Linked DNA regions of Saccharomyces cerevisiae S288C. Changing the gene in region 1 together with any one later gene gives a genetic interaction. Each region holds a gene or a part of one and is shown on either strand. Other genes may lie near its edges.

Region 1 (4,417 bases):
CAAGATAAGAGAAAAATTATGCTGTGAAGATTAGTAATCGAAGTAACTGCTTATTCATTCAGTGCATGTTTTTCTAGGAATGCGTTTGATATGGGACATACATCTTACTATGCGACATTACCTTTTAGGGACATCAATGAGCAAGTGAACACTAGCAAATTAGGAAAACAACTTTAGCACGCCCAACTGCGTACTGAAACGCAGAAAACTATAGAGTTTCCCGAAACGGTGACAGCTGAGTTCGCTCAAATAAGAACAACACCATGTCTTGAAGCTTCTTCTATAGCGTAGAGTAAGTAGTGCCTTGTAGCCCTACCGTTTTACAATGCATGAGGTTACCCGCACTTATTATTTTTTTCTCTTTTTTTTTCTTAGCTATAAAAGGCAGATCAATGCAGCATTCATTGCTTTATTTGACTTTCCTTTACTATTTATTTACTTTCCATTTCTTATTTTAGTGTTATTTTATAACAGTAACGCAAATTTAACAGCCATTCGTAACACGTACAGTATCTCGTCGAGGTTGAACCCCTCCGGGGCGTTCTTGACCCATGAAGAATGTGGATTGGTGTTGCAATATATTTATTATTGGCTTGGACTGGAGAACAAATTTATCGATCTTGGGTGCAACAGTCTTTCTGTCGTCTGTTTTTTAGCAGATCTAAGGGTTTACCTTCGTGTGCCCGGATGAGGACCGTTGCAAGGATTGATAATACAACTATATACATCATTATCGTAGTGAATTGCACGAGTAACTTCTCGGCATGGGGTGAGTAAATTCATATTATGAAAGTAATTAAACTTACTACCTAAATAAGAGGATATCTATGTCTTATTGCTTGTATATATGAGTGGCTTGGAATGCTGCAAATACTGTTTAGGAAAAAGTAGATAACTAAAAGGTTTCTCCTTCCTTCGGTTGACGCAATTTCTTGTTCGCTGGGGTTGCCATTTCCTTTCTAAGATCAAGTAATAAAGTTTCCATGGTGTAGGCTCTTTTCCAGTCACGTAAGGTGTGGAAGTCAGTTTGGACCTCCCCCGTAGTTGGATTGACGCATGGTAGATTTATCTTGGAAATGAAAGTGACCTTTGGGGGAGAATCTGGATAGTTTGGGCCACAATCTATAGAAAGGGAATAGATTCTGTTTTCATGATTACTATGAGGGGGCCCTAAAATAGTGCCGTTCCATTTGGTCATGGTAATATCGTCGCTATCAGCTAAACCATAACTACATGATTCTGGACCAAACCCTTTTTCACCCTTTTCTAATTCTTCTAACAACCTAAAATTTCTTGGTCTGATTTACAATAGGACAGTGAGGGTACATTTCAAGAATTTGTTAGTATATGTTGAAATCCCTTTCAAAACTTATAATAACATACACTTTTGACATTTTTGTGTAAACGCTGCTTTCTTCTACGTTGCATATACAGAATAAGAATTTCACCACGACATCGAAATGTAATGAGCAGAGATTGTGTAGGAAGTTGATCTTATTTTAGTCTCTTATTTATCGCTAAAGGAGCAATGAAAATTGATAGCGTGTTACCCTAGGAATAATTCCTAACAATTTTTTCCATCTTAAAATCGAGAGGTAATAGTAAATAATGGATGTGAGAGCGGCATTGCAATGTTTCTTCAGTGCATTGAGTGGACGATTCACTGGAAAAAAATTGGGACTAGAGATCTATTCTATCCAGTACAAAATGAGCAATAGTGGTGGGTCCTCTCCTTTCTTGGAAAGCCCTGGAGGTTCGCCCGACGTAGGCAGTACAAATGGACAAAGTAATCGTCAGATTCAGGCGTTACAATTCAAGCTCAATACTCTACAAAATGAGTATGAGATTGAAAAATTGCAGCTACAAAAACAGACGAATATCTTAGAAAAGAAATATAAGGCCACGATTGACGAATTAGAGAAAGCATTGAATGATACAAAATATCTTTATGAAAGCAATGATAAATTGGAGCAAGAGTTAAAGAGTTTGAAAGAAAGATCAGCTAATTCGATGAATGATAAAGACAAATGCATAGAGGAATTGCGAACAACCCTCCAAAACAAAGATTTAGAAATGGAGACTTTAAGGCAGCAGTATGATTCGAAGTTATCAAAGGTCACTAACCAATGTGACCATTTCAAGTTGGAAGCAGAGAGCTCTCATTCGCTACTGATGAAATATGAGAAAGAAATAAAGAGGCAAAGTGTGGATATCAAAGATTTGCAGCATCAAGTGATGGAAAAGGATGATGAATTATCTTCGGTAAAAGCATCTAAGATGATAAACTCACATCCAAACTACTCCACCGAAGAGTTCAACGAGCTCACTGAAATGAACAAAATGATCCAAGACCAAGTTCAGTATACTAAAGAATTGGAACTAGCGAACATGCAACAAGCCAATGAATTGAAAAAACTTAAACAATCCCAGGACACTTCTACTTTTTGGAAATTAGAAAATGAAAAACTACAAAACAAATTAAGTCAATTACACGTACTCGAAAGTCAATATGAAAATCTTCAATTGGAAAACATAGATCTAAAATCGAAATTAACCAAATGGGAAATTTATAATGATAGTGACGATGATGATGATAACAATGTTAACAACAATGATAATAATAATAATAATAAAAATGATAATAATAATGATAATAATAATGATACAAGTAATAACAACAATATTAATAATAACAACAGAACCAAAAATAACATAAGAAATAACCCTGAAGAGATTATCCGGGACTGGAAACTTACCAAAAAGGAATGTTTAATTTTGACAGATATGAATGATAAGTTAAGATTGGACAATAACAATTTAAAGCTACTGAATGATGAAATGGCTTTAGAGAGAAACCAAATACTAGATTTGAACAAGAATTATGAAAACAACATAGTAAATTTGAAAAGATTAAATCACGAGTTAGAACAACAGAAGAGTTTATCTTTCGAAGAATGTCGATTACTGCGCGAACAATTAGATGGCCTATATTCCGCACAAAATAATGCTTTACTAGAGGTCGAAAATAGTGAAACACATGCGTCAAACAAGAACGTAAACGAAGATATGAATAATTTGATCGATACTTATAAAAATAAGACAGAAGATTTAACAAACGAACTAAAGAAGCTAAACGATCAGTTATTATCAAATTCCAATGATGTAGAAACACAAAGAAAAAAGAGGAAGTTGACAAGTGACCAAATTGGTTTAAATTATTCACAGAGGCTCAACGAATTGCAACTGGAAAATGTAAGTGTCTCGAGGGAGTTGAGTAAAGCACAAACTACAATTCAGCTACTACAAGAAAAATTAGAAAAGTTAACTAAACTAAAGGAGAAAAAAATACGTATACTGCAATTACGTGACGGCCCCTTCATAAAAGATCAATTTATCAAGAAAAACAAATTACTTCTTCTAGAAAAGGAAAATGCAGATTTACTTAACGAATTGAAAAAGAATAATCCAGCAGTGGAAACAGTACCCATTTCTGTTTATGATTCACTAAATTTCGAGTTGAAACAGTTCGAACAGGAAGTTTTTAAGTCAAATAAAAGATTTTCCAGACTAAAGCAAGTTTTCAATAATAAATCTTTGGAGTTTATTGACGTTGTAAACTCATTATTAGGTTTTAAATTGGAATTTCAACAAGATAGTCGTGTGAAAATATTTTCCTGTTTCAAACCTGAAAAATATTTGATTGCTGATCTAAATGAAAACACTTTGAAATCTAACCTTGATGCAGATATAGAAGGATGGGATGATCTCATGAATCTATGGGTGGAAGATAGAGGTCAACTTCCGTGCTTTTTGGCAACAATAACATTGCGTCTGTGGGAACAGCGACAAGCCAAATAAGTGTATATACATTTCTAATAGATAATAGTAATCGGTTTTATAATATGATAAACTCCTATCCGCTGACATAATTGTTGGTCACAAAATTCTTTTATCTTTCTTCATCATTGACCTTTTATGATTCCTTTGGTATGCAAAAAAAAAAAAATTGTGTTGAAGAATAAAAACAAATTACAGAATAAGTCACACATGATATAAAAAGAAGCCCAGTTTTTCATAGCTATTAAGGGGGCATAAATGCACTTATATGAGGGAAGGTGATTCTAATTCAAAAAAATCTGCGGATGTTGCTGTCCTCTCCATCATCCTTACGGGTTCGACCTTAACATTGATCTACACATATAAAAGGTATTTAACTCAATTCAAAAGAACAAATGATATACCGCGAAGAATATTTCGTAAACACTGGCTTTATGGTAAAGTCACGTCTGTAGGTGACGGGGACAACTTTCATTTCTTTCACATGCCAGGTGGTATAAGAGGTGGATGGGGATGGTTACGACCCGTCCCACAAATGATCAAGAATGATTCTACGGCAGAAAAGCTTGTTGGAGATAGC
Region 2 (4,570 bases), on another chromosome or scaffold:
TCCGGAGGTGCATCTATCATTACAGTATGTGATAAAGGGGCATGGACTTGATATCCTAGCCTACTAATCTCTTTGCTAAAACATGTTGCAACCAAATAGGGCTACCATTGTACTTCTAATGAATACTCTTTACGGCGCACTGCAATGCGTAATAAAGTTTTATTGTAGCGAGGTTTCATTTTTGCTTATGTTCTTTTTATTGTTTAATACGTGCATATGTATTCTATAAGATAAATGTATATAACTGCCAACAAAATAAACTAAAATCAAGGTATGGCTGTAGAAAATGATACCACAGATAATAAAATAATAAATAATCTAATAGCTGAGTGGAAGAAAAAAAAAAAATAAAAAAAGAGTAGTACAAACTAAGGAGATAAAAGTGTGAACTATGCCTATTCAAAAAAGTAGAATAGAGTAAATAAGCATACTTGTACTTATCTCAGTTGTAAAATATCGTTACTTAGAACTCCTCTTTTCTCTCTCGAAAAAAAAATGTCTTTAAAAATAATATCATTTCATCGAAAAGGCTTCCGGAGCTTCACCTTCCGGTCCAATATACTTTGGATCCCTCCATGGACCGATATCGGATAGGTATAACCCACCCTTGGATTCATCAACTTCAGACTTACCGCCAAATTTGACTGGTAAGTTTTCAGCTGGAATTTGCTTTAATAATTCCTTCTGGTAAGAAGAACCCAAGATAAAAATCTTTGAAACAGTGACTGGATCCAAGAAAGGTTTAAATAGCCTAAATGCGGTAGAGAAACCGAATGGCGCGTTGATGATGTAAAATTTACCCATACGTTCGGGGTAATAGTTTTGACTTATGTAGGAGGCTTCCCTAACATATGACATAACACTGTATGCACTAGATATGGAGATACCTTTCAAATCCATAATTGTACATGAAGTTTCCACTAGGTGACCAGCAGCTCTTGAACAGGCAGGTAATCTGTATTGAACGACAGATTCGTATTCCCAAACCAAGTTTTTCAACATCCTCTCTTCAGAGGTAACCTTGTTCATTTCATGTAAGTTAACAGCACCTAATTCTTCAAAATATACTGGGCGGCCATCTTTATCGGTTTTATGATAATATTGTGGGTAGAATTTGGCAATCAATGGTTTTTCATCATAATGAAAATCTTGCAAGATAGTGTCGGTACCATAATCCTTCCTCCATTTTTCGCAGTTTTCAAACATTTCTTTAGCCAATTGAACATCAAATTTTCTGGCTCTCAAAAAACGTAGTAAAGTTGAATCGTCTAAACGTTCAATGAAACCAGCGTCTTCCAAAAGTTTTCTTAGTTCTGCCAATGCCTTCTCTTGAGCGCTGTCTAAATTTCCTGGAGTACCAGGCAAGGCATCTGGAGGACAGTTTTGAGGGTAGGATTCTAAAAATTCCTTTTCTTGTTGCTATTTAAAGTGAAGTCATAGTAATACCACTTGTGTTTGTTAGTAAACTTATTGATATATCATTTTTGCTTCATATAGACAGAACTATCTGAAGAATGTGAATATTGTCACAATGAATGTCAAAAAAAGAAAAAGTAAATAAAAGCAACAACATACTGTAACCATTGTGTTTTAGGGCGATGAAGGTTTGGTTTGATGCTACAGGCGCTGGTCAAGCGATATACCAGGAAAGGACACTTAAGACACAAACAAAGGAAGATGTACCATTTTATTGTTGATCAACGTTGAAAAAAAAAATGTGGAAAAAACGAACTAGCCAGTCGCGTTGTACGGAACATCTAACACGTAAATAAACATGATTTCATATATTTTATTCCTAATGTGTACACTATTTGACCCAAAAGGTGGATGTAAGGTCAGGGATCATGGTTGATACCGCACCATACATTGGTTCACTAGGGAGAAGTTCCCTTTTTGATACTGGTGATATAGAACAAGCCCCTGGTAATAATGCAATTGGTATTAATGAGGAAGATATTCACGCGTTTGTATCAAGTACTGGCGAAACGGTTCAATTAAAGAAGAAGCCTGCGAAGTTAGCAACCGGGAATATTAGTCTATACACTAACCCAGATACTGTTTGGAGATCAGACGACACGTACGGCATCAATATAAACTATTTGTTAGACAAAATTGAGGCATCTGGCGATGACCGCACTAACGCACAAAAGACTTCACCTATAACTGGCAAGATAGGTAGCGACACACTCTGGGTAGAGAAATGGCGTCCTAAAAAATTTCTAGATTTGGTTGGTAATGAAAAGACAAACAGGAGAATGTTAGGTTGGTTGAGACAATGGACGCCGGCTGTGTTTAAAGAGCAATTACCCAAATTGCCAACCGAAAAAGAGGTCAGTGATATGGAACTCGATCCATTGAAAAGGCCACCAAAGAAAATTTTACTACTGCACGGGCCACCAGGAATAGGCAAAACCTCAGTAGCTCACGTTATTGCCAAACAATCAGGGTTTTCTGTCTCAGAAATCAATGCAAGTGATGAAAGGGCTGGACCTATGGTAAAAGAGAAAATATATAATCTTTTATTCAATCATACTTTCGATACAAATCCTGTGTGCTTAGTGGCGGATGAGATTGATGGAAGTATTGAGAGTGGATTTATTAGAATTTTAGTTGACATTATGCAAAGCGATATTAAAGCCACTAATAAACTATTATACGGTCAACCAGATAAAAAGGACAAAAAGCGCAAAAAGAAAAGGTCTAAATTGCTTACGCGACCTATTATTTGTATTTGCAATAATCTATATGCTCCTTCTTTGGAAAAGCTGAAACCATTCTGTGAAATTATTGCTGTGAAAAGACCTTCCGATACTACCCTACTAGAGCGATTGAACCTTATCTGCCATAAAGAAAACATGAATATTCCTATAAAAGCAATCAATGACTTAATTGATTTGGCTCAAGGTGACGTAAGGAATTGTATAAACAATTTACAATTCTTGGCCTCGAATGTTGATTCAAGAGATTCCTCTGCATCAGATAAACCTGCTTGTGCAAAAAATACGTGGGCGTCATCCAACAAGGACTCCCCCATATCATGGTTTAAAATCGTGAACCAATTGTTTAGAAAGGATCCACATCGTGATATAAAGGAGCAGTTTTATGAATTGCTAAACCAAGTAGAGCTTAATGGTAACTCTGACAGGATATTGCAAGGCTGTTTTAATATATTTCCCTACGTAAAATATTCCGACAATGGTATAAGAAAGCCAGCAAACATTTCAGATTGGCTATTTTTCCATGATTTAATGTACCAATCAATGTATGCGCATAATGGCGAATTGTTACGTTACTCCGCCCTTGTGCCCCTAGTCTTCTTCCAAACGTTTGGCGATATCGCAAACAAAGATGATATTAGAATGAAGAATAGTGAATACGAACAACGTGAATTAAAACGAGCCAATTCAGATATAGTTAGTCTGATTATGAGACATATCTCGGTTCAGTCCCCACTAATGGCAAGTTTTACGGATAGAAAATCGTTAATCTTTGAAATACTACCATATCTAGATTCGATGATCTCTTCCGATTTTAATAAAATAAGGAACCTGAAACTCAAACAAGCCATCATGGAGGAATTAGTTCAATTGCTGAAAAGCTTTCAACTGAATCTAATCCAAAATCGGTCAGAAGGATTTGATGTAAGGGGTGGCCTAACAATCGATCCCCCAATCGATGAAGTCGTATTGTTAAATCCTAAACATATTAACGAAGTCCAACATAAACGGGCTAATAATTTGAGTTCACTGTTAGCAAAGATTGAGGAAAACCGGGCCAAGAAAAGGCATATAGACCAAGTGACTGAGGATAGACTACAGTCACAGGAAATGCATAGCAAAAAAGTCAAAACTGGGTTAAATTCTTCCTCAAGTACAATCGACTTTTTCAAGAATCAGTACGGATTATTGAAGCAAACTCAGGAATTGGAAGAGACACAAAAAACTATTGGATCAGACGAAACCAACCAAGCAGATGACTGCAATCAAACGGTTAAAATATGGGTGAAATACAATGAGGGGTTCTCTAACGCTGTCAGGAAAAATGTGACTTGGAATAACCTGTGGGAATAAATGACGTAAGATATATACGCAGTCTCTCTTAAGAAGCATACTTGTATATGGACCAGCAGCTTACATAGAAATCTAAAAGAAGTAAATAAAGAACATTAGCAATCAATCCTGCCGGTAGTCGCAACAGCTCCGATTTTGTCACGCAGCGTTCGTTTTTTATTCGTGATCTTTTACCCTCTTCGCTATCGTTCTTATTTCTACATAAATGGAACCCCGAAGAGCAGAAAGACCGAAAATCGAATTACTATCTGTGGGATACAATATAGCGCATAGAAAAGAACAAAACATAGATAGTTTGGAAAAATAGTACAGACTGCTGAATTAACTCCACTTGGTGCTTTTGTATATATCGAATGGGCCAAAAAAGTAGTAAAGTGCATATAACCAAAACAGATAGGGCGATCCTAGAAGTAAAACGATCTAAAGATGAAATTCATAAGTTTACGAGGAGGACAGATAATTTGATTTTGGTAGAGAAGAGTCAACTAAAAGACCTAATA
Region 3 (5,375 bases), on another chromosome or scaffold:
TATGCATTTTCTAATAGTGCTGGACTATTAACACTCGAATACCTGTCATGAGATGGACTTTACGTAATAAATACAATTTGTGACATTGAACTATTGTTGACGAAAAAAACTATCTTTTTTTATTGAAATGAAAAAGGAATAAAATAGCCTAATGTAAAATATCGCCTGGCTAGCACTAATAACTTTGAGTATTGTTGCAGTTATTCCTGCCGCAAATTATGTATTAAAATTTATACAGATATTGTGCCATAACTTCAGTTAAGGGTAAATTATCAAATTCTCGATATCCGTGGTCACTTTATACGAGTTTCTCTTTCCGTGCCTATATTCCTCGCGATGAGATTGAGGTAGAAAAAATATCTGAAAAAGAGTTGTCAATATATTATCTATTATGTCCTTATAATTTTATCATTTAGATTGTTCATGAGGCCCACATTTTCATAGGATTGCTAATTAACTCACAAATATGGTTCAAGCTATCAAATTAAATGATTTAAAAAATAGGAAGAGAAAAAATGTGGAGGAAGAAAATGGCAGTGACGAGTCTGAAATTGACATTAGTAGCACCGATTCAGAAAATGAAGAAGAGCAAAATGGAGAAGAAGAGATCGTAAATATTGACTTCGATTTTTTCGGTGGTAACCCAGAAGTTGATTTTCATGCTTTAAAGAATTTACTGCGTCAGTTATTTGGTCCTCAAGAAAGTACCAGGATTCAACTAAGCAGCTTGGCAGATTTGATCCTAGGTTCCCCAACCACCACAATTAAAACAGACGGCAAAGAATCTGATCCATACTGTTTTCTTTCATTCGTTGATTTCAAAGCTAATCATCTAAGTGATTATGTCAAATATTTACAAAAAGTGGACATGAGACTTTCCACTTTCTTCAAAACTATGATTGATAGTGGTAATAAAAATTGTGCTTTGGTTCTCAGTGAAAGGCTGATTAATATGCCACCGGAAGTCGTTCCACCTTTATACAAGATTACGTTGGAGGATGTTGCCACGGCACTTGGCGATGACAAACATTATGACTTCTATATCATCGTCACCAGGAAGTATGAAGTAAATTTTGACACTGACGATGATACCGACTCTGGTAAGAGGAATAAAAACAAAGACGAAAGATCCAAAAAAAGGGTGAAGGCCGATGAAGTAGACTACTTTCATGAGGAGGACCGATTTTTTGAAAAATATGCCAAGATTCACTTCGAATCAGAAGCTAAAAAGGGTGTTATCAGCTCATACATGATTCTTGATCACGAAGGCCTTGTCAAAAGTATCGATGAATTGGAAACAGAAATTTCCACTTGGTAATTTTACGAAAAGTAAATAGTTGCGATCACTGCCCTGCACAGTTAGTGCAATTTGTATATTATTAACAGACGAAGCAGCAGCGGCCATTGAGCCTTTATGTCATCCTACACGGATAATTTTGGGCTGCCGAGGACAGTAAAAATTAATCCGCCACCGCTGAAAATTTTTCTGGGCGATCATCTTTTTAATGTCGTGTGCTCCAATAAAAATACATAGTATATATTGTGCAAAGTGAAATCAGATTGTAATTCAAGAAAGGTCATTCACCCTGAGCCTTATAGAACATAGTCAGCATATAAGTGTTGAGCATTTTGAGCCGGGGCATACAGGTATTTGCGGCGTAACTACAAAATTTCTGGTTCTTCCCCCTTTCGAACCGTTAGAAGGGATAAGGATTTTTGCGTACTTGCTGCAGCCGCGAAATTTTCAAAGGCCGGCTATTACCCGTAGGCGTTAGCCGCCGAACAGATAGAATATAAAGATTATTTAGAGACATCATAATCAAAAGTACAGTTTCCGCCTCAAAGATGTCCTCACGTCCAAGTTCAGCAGTGCCTAATTCAGCATCACTCAGTGAGGACCAGAGCAGTGATAGAAGTAAATTTCCTAAGGCAGATGACTTAATTGATGAAAGAGATAGAAAACTGACCGAACTATACTGCGTATCCCGCTTGAACCAGCTGCTAGAGTTAACAGATGAAAACAAACTTCGGAAGGAAATAGATGCATTTTTAAAGAAAAACGATATACGAAGGGGTATAAGGTTTGACGAGGCGTCACTGCCGAAGCTCCTACATACAGCTGCGACTCCCATAACAAAAAAGAAATTGAAGGATGTAAATTTAATAAATGTACCTAACCAGAGGCTATCCGATTCTAAAATGAGTAGGGAACTGCCAGAAAATAGCGAAAATGTATCAGTCAAATCAGAGAGTCATTTTGTTCCAAGCCACGATAATTCAATCCGTGAAAATATGATGGATTCTTTGAGGCCAGCTGAAAAGACAGGAGGTATGTGGAACAAAAGGCCACTTGAGTCAACTATGGGAGGTGAAGAAGAGCGACATGAAAAAAGACAGAAGATGCAATCTCAGTCATTGGAATCTTCTAATAATTCGGAAATGGCTTCATTACCTATTTCGCCGCGTCCCCCAGTGCCTAATGCATTAGCACACTACACTTATTATGAGAACATCGAGTACCCACCAGCAGATCCCACTGAGGTGCAACCTGCAGTAAAATTCAAGGATCCGTTGATAAAGAACATTATGGCGAAAGAGATAGATACATCAGACCATTATAACGAGAACAATGTTGACGCATTAGAGACCGTATTTTTATTAATGAACGATTATATACCATCGAAAATACCCCAGGCTTTGCCCTTAGCAGAATTGAAGTACATGTCACAAACTCTGCCTCTTATTAATCTAATACCGAGAGCTCACAAGGCTTTGACCACTAATATTATAAACAACGCCTTAAACGAGGCCAGAATTACTGTTGTTGGCTCGCGAATAGAAGAACTAAGAAGACTTGGATTATGGTCTTTAAGACAACCTAAAAGATTCATCGATCCGTGGAAACAACACAATACGCATCAAAACATACTTTTAGAAGAAGCTAAATGGATGCAAGCAGATTTTAAAGAGGGCCACAAATATAAAGTAGCTATCTGCACAGCAATGGCACAGGCAATCAAGGACTACTGGACCTATGGGGAAATATGCTGTGTAAAACGTAAAACACTTCTACCTGGTAAGGAAAATAAATTATCTGACGACGGGCGCATATCTGAAAAGTCCGGTAGACCATCGGATACTTCAAGAAATGATTCCGATATTAGCATAGCCGGTAAGGATGACATTGGAATTATTGCGAACGTTGACGATATTACTGAAAAAGAAAGTGCTGCTGCTAACGATAATGATGAGAATGGAAAGAATGAAGCAGGAGCTAAGAGTGATTTTGATTTTGCAGATGGTTTGTTATCTCAAGAAGGTGCCCACGATCAAATTATATCTTCTATTGACACCAAGTTACTTCTAAAAAAGCCATCCTCCTCAAGCGAAGTTGTTTTAATACAACATGAAGTAGCTGCATCATCAGCGTTGATCGAAACCGAAGAATCAAAGAAAGAGCTAGCCCCCCCATTTAAACTTTCAATCTTTGTTGACGAACTCAATACTTTTGAAAAAACATTAATACAGGATTTACCGCTGTATAATGGTATTAATGAAGAACGGCCAAAAAAAGATGATTCTTTACCATTTATTCCAATTTCCAAATCGGTAGTGTCACTGGATGATAATGGATTTTATAAGTTACTTGAGCGTCAATTGATTGACGAAGAACCATCAATATCACAATTGAGCAAAAGGCGGGGTATGTTCTATGGTAATAGAAGAAATCATTATTTAAGACCACCAGCAGTACCTTCATTACGCTATCTTCAAAATAGAACACCGACTATATGGCTGTCTGAGGACGATCAGGAACTGGTCAAAAATATTAACACATATGGCTACAATTGGGAATTGATTAGTGCACATATGACACATCGCCTCACATATTCTTATTTATCGAATATTGAACGTAGAACGCCATGGCAGTGTTTTGAGCGTTTTGTACAATTAAATGAACGATTCAATTTTAGTGACCTCAAGGGTCCCAGAGCACATAGTGCTCAACAGTGGTTGATTGAAGCCCATAAATTTCAGCAGAGACAGAATAGAAGAATATCGCCTTTAGGTGTAAATACAGAATCCATACAAAGAGGTCATAGGAGACTCCGTTGGGCGAGCATGTTTGAGGCGATTAGAAAATGTATGAAAAAAAGAGAAAATACGCCGCGTCCCAATCCAACCCAGCCAAGGAAACCGTTAGATTGTAAAAACATGAAGGTCCCTACCCCAGCAGAAATGTCGCTTTTGAAAGCCCAAAGAGATGAGGCATTGAGAAGGGATATACAATTGAGAAGAACAGTGAAAAATAGATTACAACAGAGGCAACAGCAAAGTCAGCAGGCACATTCATCCCGAGCTCAAAGTCCAATACCTTCAAATGGCAAATCTTCTTCAAATTTGGCTAGAAATGGGCAAGCGTCGGCTCCAAGACCAAACCAGAAACAGTATACTGAGCAAGATATCATTGAAAGTTACTCGAGGAAGTTGTTGGAGCAAAAACCAGACATTGGTCCTGAGATGGCCCTTAAGGCGGCAAAAAACTATTATAGAACCTTGAGAGAACAACAGCAACAGCTAAAGCAGCACCAGATTCAACAGCAAAGGCAGCAGTTACAGGAGGAGTCCAGTCATGTGCAGCAACTGCAGCAACTACAACCAGGGTCTCAAGCTCCGCCACCGAAATCATCTCCATCTCAATCTTCTCTTTCCAATATTTCTAACATTAATTCTGCTCCAAGGATAAAGTCACCAACTCCACAGGAGATTTTACAAAGGTTCCAAAAACAATGACCTAACTTTACGACTTTACGATACTGATCTTTTTTTTTTTTTAACCAGGCTTATATTGGTTTTTTGATTTTTATAAATTTACGAATACTATTATATATAAGTAAAACGTTTTACTTCTCTGGTTTAGTATGTTGGCGTAACACTCTGTTCTCTGTAATATAATATGGCATCTACTTTTTTTTCAACTTCTCTACCGAATTTGATTATATTGTGGGCAAACTGGTCGTGCCCGATTCTTCCTTCGAATCACCCTTGGTGCAGTAATTAGCCTTCCATTTCAATTTTATGGGCTTACCTAAATTAACAGATATACCCTCTACGGAAGCAATCTGTTTGATACCATCTCTGGAGTTACTTTGGAGCATATTGCCCGATTGCGGTTGCAGAGACAATGTCGTGCCTTTAGGTGATGCCACTAAAAGTGCAAAATTAGTTATTGGATCACTGCTTATGTTTGAATAGAAGATAACTAATCGTAGTTTTGTCATCGACTCACGAGTTAATTCGTAATCAATGCGTAAGTGATCCGATTGGTTAAGTATATGTCTTTGCGATTGAGCTGTGATTTCCTTGGAGTTACT
Region 4 (3,645 bases), on another chromosome or scaffold:
GGTTCCCTGATAGAAATAAATACGGCTAAATTAAATAAACTACTACATAATCCTACAACATCAAATGCCTGTAGATCAAGAAAAATTAGCTAAGCTGCACAAGTTATCAGCAGCAAACAAAGTTGGTGGTACCAGAAGGAAAATAAACAAGAAAGGTAATTTATATAATAACAATGACAAGGATAATACCAAGTTACAAGCTGAACTTCATAAACTGCATCCAATGACCATTGAAAACGTTGCCGAAGCAAATTTTTTCAAAAAGAATGGCAAGGTTTTACATTTTAACAGTGCAGTTGTACAGATTGCCCCTCAATGCAATCTCACAATGATTCATGGCCAACCGAAAGAGAATACACTTAATGGGCTGTATCCGAGCGTAGCCTCTCAATTAGGTAGCCAAGAACTTGAGTATTTGACAGGTTTGGCTCATAACCTAGAAAATGAACAGACGGTGCTCGACCAGCTGGGCGACAGATGCAGCGAGACAAAACAACAAGTGATGAATAGCTGACATAGTTCATAATAATTGCCAGTAAACGTTATAGCTAGTGGCGAATGTCGAAGTGGAAATGCTATCACATTAATGTTGCAGATGAATATATATTTTCTTATTTGAGAAGATACACGCTATTTACTCTTTCAGCCATTACTGCTACCATTGTGGTTGTTATCTTGACGATGAACGATGTTGGATTGCTTGACTTTTTTCAGTAATTCATTGATACCCTCACCACCCGCAGTTAGTAATTTAGTCCTGTTTCTCCTACATGTCAGTGTATCATAATGTCTTTTCAATGCATCTTTCCTTGCAAAACCTTTGCCACATTGAGGACAAATGTTAGGCAATATGGCGAAGTGTGTCTTTTCGTGCCTTCTCAAATCTGATGATCTTGAAAATTCCAACGAACATTTCGCACATTTAAATCTTTTTTCACCAGTACTATTTCTACGATCTTGGGGTTTGCTTTTGCTGGACTTCGGTGGTTTTGGTAATGCGTTTTCCTTTTTAACCTTTATGTTACCGCCTTGACTATTTATATCAACACCATTTTCTGCCGGTATGAGTGCTGGTTTTTTATTTTGTAACCTGTTTTGCCTATTCCTTACCCTTTCTAATAACTCTTTTATTATAGGATCTATGTTATCTATATTTAATGATACATCCACTATTGCTTCTGTAGCCTGTTTGATAAATGCAGCATCCTGATCCTCCATTTGGTACTTTTTTGAAATTTATAATACCTCTTGACTTTTTTCCACTATATTATTAACAAATTCTTGGCATATGACATGAAACCCTATTCAATTATCCAGATGCATACATATATACCATGGATAGATATGTATATCTACTATATCTATATATACCTCGTCAATGTAATGAGGAAAGTTCCGAGGGCGACAAAGAGAACAAATATAGTTTTATTTATAATAATGATACAGAACTCAAGATTATTTCCTGCTTATTTTAAACTAAAAGTATAGCAAGTTCTAACCCACAATCAGGTTCTTTATTATTGTCAAGAAAATATAAACTGTGGCGTACTAAGCGTACTAAGTAAGGGACGAAAAACCATCACAAAATGTCACGTGCATGTTAGTCCAGTCGGGCAATAGATAGGGACTGTAAATTAAAGTTTATATTGAAATAAACAAAGGTAAATGGTAAAAGATTAGAAGCATAGAAAGCATCTGGCGTTATTTTAGCGGGGAAAGATTTTGGTGGATACTATCTTTGACTAGTATATTTGAGTAGCAATTAATGTCTAACGAATTACGGCTTGAAGATAACTATGTACCAACTTCCGACACACTAGTAGTTTTCAAACAATTGATGAAGCTGCCGGTAACGGTATTATATGATCTTACGCTATCATGGTTCGCAAAATTCGGTGGGTCATTTGATGGTGACATATATTTATTGACAGAAACATTAGACTTACTGATTGAGAAAGGCGTGAGGCGAAATGTTATAGTAAATAGGATATTATACGTATACTGGCCGGATGGCCTGAATGTTTTCCAATTAGCAGAAATAGATTGCCATTTAATGATAAGTAAACCAGAGAAATTTAAGTGGCTTCCATCAAAAGCTTTACGGGGAGATGGGAAACCTTACGTAGTAAAGCTCCAACCTGCCAAATTTATAGAAAATTTACAAACAGATCTAGCGAAAATTTACCATTGTCATGTTTACATGTTTAAACATCCCTCTTTGCCAGTGTTAATTACCAGAATACAGCTATTTGACAGCAATAATTTATTTTTGAGTACGCCTAATATAGGGAGTATAAATAAAGAGTCTCTTTACAACAAGTTAGACAAATTCCAAGGGAAACCATTAATATCAAGGAGACCATATTACGTTGCATTCCCGCTAAATTCTCCAATAATTTTCCATTCAGTTGACAAGGATATTTATGCTAGACTAGTTTTGCAGAGCATTAGTCGAACGATATCAGAAAGAGAAACAATCATCTTCAAACCGGTACAGAAAATACCCGTGAAATCAATACATAATATAATGACTTTATTAGGACCTTCGAGATTTGCGGAGTCTATGGGCCCATGGGAATGTTATGCTAGTGCTAACTTTGAACGGTCACCACTACACGACTACAAAAAGCACCAAGGCCTTACTGGTAAAAAGGTAATGGTTAGAGAATTTGATGATTCTTTCTTAAATGACGATGAGAATTTTTACGGAAAAGAAGAACCTGAAATTAGACGACTAAGGTTAGAGAAAAACATGATCAAATTCAAAGGTTCAGCAAACGGCGTAATGGATCAGAAATATAATGATTTGAAAGAATTTAACGAACATGTCCACAATATTAGGAATGGAAAGAAAAATGAAGATTCTGGTGAGCCAGTGTACATTTCTAGATACAGTTCCTTAGTTCCTATTGAAAAAGTTGGATTCACTTTAAAAAACGAAATAAACAGTAGAATAATTACCATAAAATTGAAATTTAATGGTAATGATATTTTTGGGGGATTACACGAACTATGCGATAAAAATTTAATAAATATTGATAAAGTTCCTGGGTGGTTGGCTGGAGAAAATGGATCGTTCTCAGGAACGATAATGAATGGAGATTTTCAGCGAGAGCAGGTTGCTAAAGGTGGTTTACTGTAGAAAACTACTGTGTTCTGTTATCGCTTCCAATAAAAAAAAAAAAAAAAAACCTATGCAAAAATTTCAGTCAAAGCATAACAAAACGAACCTTTTTTGTACTGCTCATTGAAGTATTTACGGGGCAGTATGGGCACTTGAAAGTAATTGTTCCGTTCTTCGATAATCTGTCTAGCGCCTTTTTAGAAATGATGTGATGGCATGCCAGTGAATAAGGAGGATTTTCTGTAGTGGTTTCCTCCTTTAAGACGGGACAGATGAAGATCGGATGGAAATGAGTCAGAAAATCTGGTAACTTGACATCAAATGGCAACTCATCTTTCGTAGTCCAGTCAACGTGCGCTAACTCCCTGATGGTTTTGTATTTGATGAAAAATTGGAAAGAAATTAAACCACTCAATACTATCAAAAACAAGGGAGAGTCAAAGAAAATATGTTTTGCAGCACAATATTCTTTTATAAATAACGACGTGCATTCTTTTAATTCCTTATTTACTTTAGAATCA

The links.
Region 2: mutations in MAD1 (region 1) and CTF18 together harm fitness more than expected from each alone (negative genetic interaction), as found in Saccharomyces cerevisiae (9 studies listed by BioGRID, with this or other methods).
Region 3: mutations in MAD1 (region 1) and EAF1 together harm fitness more than expected from each alone (negative genetic interaction), as found in Saccharomyces cerevisiae (6 studies listed by BioGRID, with this or other methods).
Region 4: mutations in MAD1 (region 1) and CHL4 together harm fitness more than expected from each alone (negative genetic interaction), as found in Saccharomyces cerevisiae (8 studies listed by BioGRID, with this or other methods).

Annotation. Positions count from the first base shown.
Region 1 is NC_001139.9:345,511-349,927, forward strand, and holds MAD1 (coiled-coil domain-containing protein MAD1), read left to right. Parts: upstream 1-1,608; coding exon 1,609-3,858; downstream 3,859-4,417. Other genes in the region: YGL088W (uncharacterized protein), read left to right, coding at 326-691; E2 ubiquitin-conjugating protein MMS2, read right to left, coding at 896-1,298, 1,384-1,394; LCL3 (Lcl3p), read left to right, coding at 4,106-4,417. UniProt on the Saccharomyces cerevisiae protein: Central component of the spindle assembly checkpoint. Thought to recruit MAD2 to unattached kinetochores. During checkpoint activity, MAD2 is relayed from the MAD1-MAD2 complex to the mitotic checkpoint complex (MCC).
Region 2 is NC_001145.3:422,003-426,572, reverse strand, and holds CTF18 (Ctf18p), read left to right. Parts: upstream 1-1,844; coding exon 1,845-4,070; downstream 4,071-4,570. Other genes in the region: phosphatidylinositol/phosphatidylcholine transfer protein SEC14, read right to left, coding at 514-1,419, 1,576-1,584; ESCRT-III subunit protein VPS20, read left to right, coding at 4,424-4,570. UniProt on the Saccharomyces cerevisiae protein: Essential for the fidelity of chromosome transmission. Required for the DNA replication block checkpoint.
Region 3 is NC_001136.10:1,191,355-1,196,729, reverse strand, and holds EAF1 (Eaf1p), read left to right. Parts: upstream 1-1,845; coding exon 1,846-4,794; downstream 4,795-5,375. Other genes in the region: transcription factor TFIIIC subunit TFC6, read left to right, coding at 1-51; protein-transporting protein BCP1, read left to right, coding at 467-1,318; GGA1 (ubiquitin-binding protein), read right to left, coding at 4,998-5,375. UniProt on the Saccharomyces cerevisiae protein: Component of the NuA4 histone acetyltransferase complex which is involved in transcriptional activation of selected genes principally by acetylation of nucleosomal histone H4 and H2A. The NuA4 complex is also involved in DNA repair.
Region 4 is NC_001136.10:963,348-966,992, forward strand, and holds CHL4 (Chl4p), read left to right. Parts: upstream 1-1,765; coding exon 1,766-3,142; downstream 3,143-3,645. Other genes in the region: CCR4-NOT core subunit BTT1, read left to right, coding at 65-514; MET32 (Met32p), read right to left, coding at 643-1,218; ubiquitin-protein ligase RMD5, read right to left, coding at 3,210-3,645. UniProt on the Saccharomyces cerevisiae protein: Component of the kinetochore, a multiprotein complex that assembles on centromeric DNA and attaches chromosomes to spindle microtubules, mediating chromosome segregation and sister chromatid segregation during meiosis and mitosis.